2 linked regions of the Oryctolagus cuniculus genome follow. The protein of the gene in region 1 binds, or shares a complex with, the protein of each later gene. Links are inferred from orthologs where the notes say so. Each region holds a gene or a part of one and is shown on either strand. Other genes may lie near its edges.

Region 1 (4,523 bases):
CCTGTCTTCAGTTCAGCCCAGCTCTGGCCACAGTGGCCATTTGGGGAACGAACCAGAGGAAGGATGACCTTCTCTCTGCCTCTCAAATAATTAAATCTTAAAAAGACAAATATTACATATGGAAAAATCACATAAAGTTAAAAAAATGAGAAAAATATTTGCAAAACACATGACCGAGTAAATATATATAACACTTGCCAAGAAATAAGGTGAGCAACTCGGGGCAGGTGCTGTGGTGTAGCAGGAAAAGCCACCACCTACAGTGCTGGCATCCCATATGGGCACTGGTTCGTGTCCCGGCTGCTCCACTTCTGATCCAGCTCTCTGCTAATGACCTGGGAAAGCAGTAGATGACCCAAGTACTTGGGCCCCTGGACCCACAAAGGAGATCCAGAAGAAGCATCTGGTTCCTGGCTTTGGATTGGCCCATCTTCCGGCCATAGTGGCCATTTGGGGAGTGAACCAGCTGCCTCTGCCTCTCTGTAACTCTGCCTTTCAAATAAACAAACAAATCTTTAAAAAAAAAAAAAAAAAAGATGAACAACTCAATTTAAAAATGGGCAACTGAGCTAAAAATGCATTTTAAATATAAATGCTCAATTAATTTAAAAAAAGGCTTACACTCATGAACTATTCCAAGTGTCATTTAAACAAGAAAAATGTCATTTTAAACAAGTAGATATTTTGTGTGACTCATGAATTGTTAGCAAAATTAAAACTATCTTGAAATCAATAATATATGTGCCCTAGTAAATGCCATTAGTAAAAATGAAATTTTCCTGTATTTATTTCCTGTATTTACAGATTTAAAAAATCAAGATGCAGAATAACAATATGCTTTTAAAAACAGCAGTCTAGTTACTTTCTTCCTAGATAACATTTTCCGAATCCTTAACAGACTATAAAACACACGTCTGCCTTTTTGTCACACTCAGATGGGACAGCACTCTGACTCAGCACTTATTTTGTTGTCTCTGGTTATGTTTTCTTTACCTTTCTTGCACAGAGAAGAAAACTAATAGCTGTTTTGTTGGACAAAAGATTACAAAACAAAACTAGCACTGTTTTTGCCTCATGAAATGCACAATAAAAACACTAAAGGCTTAAAATGTCTGCCTCCTTGCACATGGTAGGCACATCACACATATTCATTGAATATACACACATCACACCTTATGAAATTCTCTACGACAATACAGTTTTATTGACCACCTACTGAGTGCCAGATTATATCCTAAATGCATCTAAAACAGGGTACCAGCCTGGGGGAGATCACAGTCTTATAAACTAGTAGTTACAATAATACATTGTATTACATTCTGTAGTAGAGGAAAACAAAGTACAAATTAACTTTGCCTAAGAAGGGAGGTTTAGAGAAGTTACAGAAAAAAGATGCTTTAGATTAGAAATATCTGTAGATACTAAGGGGCACAGCATGGGTAACTGGCTGAAGAGTTAGTCGCTGATTTAGTCAACCAGGGCTCATTTCTGGCCATTTCATTTATCAGCTATGTAATCTTAAGCAACTGTTTCCATTTCTTCGTGAATTAATATCTCAAAGACTGGTTGTGAGAATTGACAAAATGATGCACATAAAATGCTTAGCACCATGTACCAACCAACACATCTTAGGTTATTACTATTAAGACTTTATGACTGTTGAACTGGAGACTGCCAGCCACAGAAGAAGTTTAGGGAACAAACAGCATCCCATTTAACTGAGAAATGGAGAGTGTGCAGCCTGTGGGAAACCGTACTTCAAATAACACAACCAACCCCCTCTGGAATGAAGATGCACCTCTTGCAAGATGCTCCTCAATCCTGCTCCCCCATGAAATCAAATCCTTCTTTGCACTTCAGACTGCATTTCCAATGCTTTTCAACTTCAGTCTCTTTTGAAAGCATGCACTTATCTAGAAATTATGCATAAAATGTCACGAAACATGGATATGAGATGAAAATCCGCTTAAGGCATTCAAATTCAGAACTACAAAATTAAAAGGGTTAAGTGATTAGGAACTGTCCTGGGAGTTGGGAAATTCTACTTACTTGCTAAGATGGAAACAACTCACTATCCTGTTTTAGACCTGAAAGGCTCAGCTGAGGATGCCTATTCAATCGTAACCACTGTTTAAGACGACAAAGCTTAACAGAACAGGATAAAAAGAAAGAAAACAGCCCTATAAAAAGAAATAACATGACGATTCTAATGACAGCAGCTTGGACAGATAGCTAAGAGGCCCAGAGGCAATCTTACTACACGGTAGGCACCCACAGAATGAACGAGTGTATAAGTACAAAAGTAAATGCCCTTGCATAAACGAACGACCTTACCGAAGAACTGTTGGACCTCAGTCAAGACACATCCAACAGCTACCCAGAGACCCAAGCTGCACGGCGCCCAGCTGCCTAGGGCTGCCTGCTTTGGTGCCAACGACACCTGCACTCGGTCAGCATACGTGCACAGAGCGCCCACTGTGAGCCAAGCGCGGCGCTGGGTGACCACTGCTGGGGTCTCCGGCGTGGGGCCTGGGGGCGCCCGAAGGAGAGAAGAGCAGGGCTCCCCAGCCGTCACTTTCAATTAGGAACCTGGGGTCAAAAGCTCAGCTCTGCAACCTGAGGGCAGTCCACCACTGCGCAATGTGGGAGGGGGTGGATCTGTCCTTAGGGAAGCCTCAGCCAGGATCCCGAGGACCCCGTAACTGTTCCAACCCCAGGCCTATCCCTAGGCGCGAAGCAGAACTTACCGGGGGTCACGGACGCTGTCACTTGGGGAAAATTCAGGCCCCAGCCGAAGACCAACTTCTAGCAACCCCCCTTATCCTAGCTCTAATCCACTAGCTCCCGCCTAGTCGCAACCTAACCCGGAGCCACGAGGCCTTTGATTAGCAGCAGCCTCCTTAAATCACCGTCTGGACTCTCGCTTGGTGGGCGGGGCCATATCGGCTATGGGCGGGGCGAGATGCTCCGCCTTCCTCAAGCTTGGTTGAGAGGTCTGCCTGCAGTTGCAAGTGTATGGCTGTTTGAAAGCGGGCGCCAGAGGTGGCGGGAAGCTCCCCCCGTGCGTCCATTGGAGGATTTGTGAGCCAATTACGAGAGGGTTGACTCTGGAGTGGGCGGGCTTATAGGTATCCTAGAGACACAGGAGCGCCAAGCCAGATAACTTAGTTTAGATCAGCAAAGCCAGGTCCGCTGTGCCACTGGTGCGGGAAATAGGCGCCGAACCTCGTGCCCTGCCCGCTTCCACTCCTAAATTCTAGTTGTCGGCTACAGCACTCAAGCTCTGTTTCCTCACAGAACTCTTGCGTAGAGATTTTTGCATTTGCCCTTCTTTTCTAAGGTGCTGGTTTCTCCAGCTCCCAACAGCCAGACATGTTGTTTTTGCTTTGTCGTATTGCTGCCTAGGCCCTGCCTTGTTTAAGTGTGATTCTAGTTGCTAAAAAAAAAGGGCCCATTCTATCACATATGCATTCACTAATTTCCTTGATTATGAATGCTTTTGTCACTGAGGTTTGCGTTATCCTGTCCTTGAATGCAGCACCACCCTGTCTTCTGAAAAACCGGTTACTATATCTACCTGCTCTGGTTAAAAGGTTCTGGTGAACATCGAAGGTTAGCAGCTGTGGGATAGTGAGGTAAAGCCACCGCCTGCAGTGCCGGCATCCCATATGGGTGCTGGTTCCTGTCCCTCTGCTCCACTTCCGATCCAGCTCCCTGCTATGGCCTGGGAAAGCAGTAGATGGCCCAAGTCCTTGGGCCCCTGCACTCACATAGGAGACCCGGAAAAGGCTTCTGGCTTCTGATGGACCCAGCTCCCGCCCTTGTGGCCATCTGGGGTGTAACCAGTGGATGGAGGACCTCTCTCTGCCTCTCGGTAACTCTGCCTTTCAAATAAATAAATAAATATTTTTTAAACTAATAAAATAGGGCCTGCGCAATGGCACACTAGGTTAATCCTCAGCCTGTGGCACCGGCATCCCATGTGGGCGCAGGGTTCTAGTCCCAGTTGCTCCTCTTCCAGCCCAGCTCTCTGCTGTGGCCCGGGAAGGCAGTGGAGGATGGCCCAGGTGCTTGGGCCCTGCACCCGAGTGGGAGACCAGGAAGAAGCACCTGGCTCCTGGCTCCTGGCTCCTGGCTTCGGATCGGTGCGGCTTCGGCTGTTGCAGCCATTTGGGGGTGAACCAACAGAAGGAAGACCTTTCTCCCTGTCTCTCTGTCTCTCTGTCTATAACTCTACCTGTCATATAAATACATAAAATCTTAAAAATAATAATAAAATAAAAAAGGCTGCCAGCAACAGGTTCATCATATCCTTTTAATTAGTGCTTTCCCATGGATACTAGTATGGAGTAAAGTGCTCCTTCAAGGCTCTCCAGAACAGGGCTAGTTTTCCTTAGCTCCTTCCCATCACACCCCCATGTTGCCTGCACTGACTGGCATCATCTAGCATACGGTGTGGTGTATAATGAGAACTTAATGACGGGAGTCGAGTGAATGGAATCACGGCTAAATGGTTCCCAGAC
Region 2 (3,819 bases), on another chromosome or scaffold:
TGGGACGCACCCCTCCTCCACCCCCACCCCCAGCCAGCCGTGTGCCCTGGACTACCTTCCTAGAACCAAGCCTTCTAGCACAAAATTGACCTTCTCTGAAGAAGGAAGGGCACTTCCAATTGGGACTAAAGACAAATGAATCCCTATAATTTCCGTCTGTATCTTAGACTGGTATGTATTTTTGAAGTCTTGGCCGAATGCGTCTTCACAAGCAAAGCCATCAAGACAGCATGGAGACACCTGAGAATGGCAAGATGCACTTAAGGGAGAGAGCCAGAGAGGGAAACAAAGAAAAACCAAACCAGAAAACCACACTGGCTTCAATAAATAAACCAACAGAGAAAGGAAATGGATCTAAGTAAACTAAAAAACTAGTCAGACTGGAAAGTTTCCATACCGAAGACAGAAACTCTTCTTGGTCATTCATACTCTCAGATACACTGTCAGAAAAGTTGGCTTCATTCATATCTAGCGTGGAAGGCAAAGAGTGAGTCTGACACAGAAAGTAAGAAGGCAAAGAGACGGTGGAGCTGCAAGGGCTGATCGGAGAAGTCAGGGGGCTGAGGACCCTGGCCAGGGGCTCAGGACTGTCCGCCGGCTGTCCTCGGGGGGGATGCAGACCTGCTTTGTAGTGCTCAGCCTTTGCCTCACCAGGCCTGCGCTGGCTGTGGGTTGGCCTGGAGAGCGGATTAGAAAACAAGACAAATAAAATACAACATGAGCACCCACTCCGCCAGAGGTTCTGGACATCTAACCCCCACTGCGAGCCCCTGCGGGCCCCTGCCCTCACACAGTCCACGCTTCCAGAGAAATCCAGTGCGGCTTGTGCTGCGACAAGGGAAGTGCTGTGCACACAGGCAGGGACCCAACCTCACCAGGCAGTGGAGGTGAGGGTTGCAGAAGAGGTAAGGCGGGGCTGAGGGTGGCAGCAAAGCCTTCTGGTAGACAAACATGTGAGTTACACAGTATAAGCTATAATCGGGCAGCTTTTCATTGCATGCTTACTTTTTAGGGCAACAGCCTATAACAAAGTGACCACAAGTCCAGAGGAAGCTTTAATTCTACTCCTTCTGGGGGCAAGTGGGCTTGAGGAGCTGGAAGGCAGCACGAGGAGACTCGGGAACACAGCCGCTGTGTACACCCACAGCCAGAGTGCACAAAACTAAGGCTTTCATGAAGTGCTCTGCCACCTCCCCCTGGCTCTTTTTAACCTGATTGTGGCTTTCCTTGTGCACACGGTCCTGCAGAATTCAAGTCCTTTCATGTCTCCAAGTCAGACATTATTCTCAAATAATTTATTAATAAAAATTATTAATAATAAAAATTATTCTCAAATAAATATTCTCAAATAAAAAAGATGAGAATTATAGTGCAACAGGACACATTCGAAATCATCCTTAAGGGTGGGCATTTAGCCCAGAGGTTAAGACACGGGTTTGACAAGCACGACCCATGCTGGAGTGCCTGGGTTCAGGTCCCAGCTATGCTCCTGATTCCAGCTTGTCGCCAGTGCCTACTCCAAGAGGTAGCAGGAGACGGTTTAAGTTCTTGGGTAACCCTGTTAACATGGGAGACCTGGACTGAATTCCTGGCTCCTAGCTTCAGCCTCACCCAGTCCCCACTGGGTGGAGTGAACCTGTGAATGGGAGATGTCTCTATCTCTGTTTCTCTTTCAAACAAAAAGCAAATTTAATCAATCAATAAATACATAAATAACTCTCAACAAATTTTACTTGAACTCCGTTTCCTTGAACTCAGTTGTTCTGCTCTGTGTTGGTTTGAAAGTTCTGTCAATTTTTTTTTTGCACATCTGAGTAGAAATCTCCAGCTGAGATTTGGTATCCAACAAATCTTTCTGTAGTTGCTGATTTTCGGACACTAATTTATTTAATGCATCAATATAATTCTCCTGAAGATCTGCTAGTGAGATCTCTTTTGCCTGATAAAAAAGAATACTAGAGTCACTTAATTTGTACAAGAATACATGTGATCTGTGATATTGCTGGTGGAAAAACTTTTTTTTATAGTTCCAACTAATCTATGGCTTTACTTTAGCAAAACTGAAGATTTTTTTTTTTTTAGTCCTCTTGAAACCAAGAGAAAAATGGTTCCATTTCTTGGTGTAACTGGACTAGGAGGCTGGAAGCACAGTGAGCTTCCTTATGTGCCAAAGCACACCCAAGGTGCAGGAGGAGGAGGAGGCTGGGAGCAGGGAGGCTGTGGGTGAGAGCAGAAACAGAAGACAGGAGCCAGCAGCCTGGTCCTTCTGACCAGCCCAGGATACCCAGCAAGAAAACCCAGACACCTACTTCAAATAAAAAGATTGTCTTAATAAACCACTTTTTATATTTTTAAATTTGAAAAGCAGAGAGACAAAGAGAGAGAGAGAGAGATCTGAATAAAGTTTCTGACAAGGAATTCTGGCTGAGAGGATTAAATAAATACTCCTTGTTGTTAAATGCTTTTACATAACTTTGGCATCTGTTCTTACATGTACATTTGGATAAAGCAGAACTCAAGTACAAGGGCACTTTAAAAATTTCATGGAAAATGGTATAAAGAAGTAAGTTTGTAGGGTGACGTTTGGCCTGGTGGTTGGGATGCCCATGTCTCATATCAGGAGGCCTGGGTTTGATGCCTGGCTCCCTGGCTTCTGATTCCAGCTTCCTGCTGGCAGAGCCTCCAGGACGTGGTGGCTGGGTTCCTGCTGCCCACACTGGAAACTTGGAATGAGCTCCCAGGCTCCCAGCTTCAGCCCCTCTCTGCCACTGCAGGAATGTTGGGGGTGGGGGGAGCTGGGGTATGTGGACTGGTTGATGGGAGCTCTCTCATTCCCTGGGTGTGTGTGTGTGTGTGTGTGTGTGTGTGTATCTCTGCTTTTCAAATCAGTAGATTTTCTAAAGATAAGTTTATTTCAGTGCAAAAAATTTTGAAATCCATGCAGTTTTCTTGTAATGCCTATTTTCCATGAACTTTTTGAAGGTCCTCTGTATATGGCAGGACTTACTGCCCTGGTCTGCTCTTAATTCTGTGACCATAAATTATATTGTTCTTCAATTCTAGGTAGTTCCTGGTAAAACAGTACCTGAAAAAATGGTAGACTGGGCCATTTTTTTCTAATGACAAAATGTTTTAGCTAGCATTCTGCAAAATTATGGTGATCTTTGGAGTTTAATGTGCTGTTTAGCTTGCTCCTTTCTGCAAAAAATCTAAGAAGAGTAAGATGGTCAAGAGGGGCCTGGAAAACAGCTTGCCCAACAAGAATATAAACTCTAAAATACACCTGTTAACACCCTGTTTACTAGCAAAGTTAATGAACCAGAGACTTTTCAAACAAGCCGGCACCAAGGCGGGGTCTCAGAGAAGGGCAAACTGCCACCCATGGTTAAAAAACGGCCAATAATTTACAGGAGCTGTGGCTTTCATTATGAAGAGCATTAGAGAACTAATTCAAATAGATACTTCAACCCAACATTCATTTGTAAAAGTAATTCTCCCTCCCAAGGTGGTAAAAGGCAAAAGAGCACTTTCTAATAATAAATCTTATTAACATGTATAACACATTCACCCTGTGCATGACCTCAAAACCAGAGTGTGTTTAAATGGCTTACAGGCTTCTCAGCAGCCAGAGTCTGAGGCATGACACCATTTAAAACACACTTTTAAAACAGACAGTGCCTGCCTCTGCCAGGTACCTTTTAAAGGTGTCTCCAAGTTGTTCTTTTATTAACAGCCCTTACAGACTGATGAACGTGAAAGGTAAAAACTGGGTAGCAAGGCCATGTCAGATGGAGGTCTTCAGGGGAAATTCAGCTGAGC

The links.
Region 2: the proteins of CEP152 (region 1) and CEP63 are in contact, whole or in part, in a crystal structure (PDB 6CSU), measured with the Homo sapiens proteins. The link is inferred for Oryctolagus cuniculus from reciprocal best matches to the Homo sapiens genes CEP152 and CEP63. Residues at the interface, in NP_001181927.1 of Homo sapiens: Gly1261, Ala1262, Glu1265, Leu1266, Gln1269, Tyr1270, Lys1272, Ala1273, Lys1276, Ile1277, Asp1280, Met1281, Tyr1284, Glu1287, Ser1288, Arg1291, Ala1292, Met1295, Ala1298, Arg1302; in NP_001340037.1 of Homo sapiens: Phe666, Glu669, Glu670, Arg673, Ile677, Arg680, Leu681, His684, Glu687, Leu688, Glu691, Ser692, Thr695, Phe699.

The regions. Positions count from the first base shown.
Region 1 is NC_091443.1:71,633,914-71,638,436, forward strand, and holds the start of CEP152 (centrosomal protein of 152 kDa), read right to left. Parts: upstream 2,888-4,523; 5' UTR 2,748-2,887; intron 2,604-2,747; exon of another isoform or gene 2,335-2,603; intron 1-2,334. UniProt on the Homo sapiens protein: Necessary for centrosome duplication; the function also seems to involve CEP63, CDK5RAP2 and WDR62 through a stepwise assembled complex at the centrosome that recruits CDK2 required for centriole duplication.
Region 2 is NC_091435.1:146,915,073-146,918,891, forward strand, and holds part of CEP63 (centrosomal protein of 63 kDa), read right to left. Parts: intron 3,210-3,819; exon of another isoform or gene 3,086-3,209; intron 1,940-3,085; coding exon 1,734-1,939; intron 678-1,733; coding exon 398-677; intron 1-397. UniProt on the Homo sapiens protein: Required for normal spindle assembly.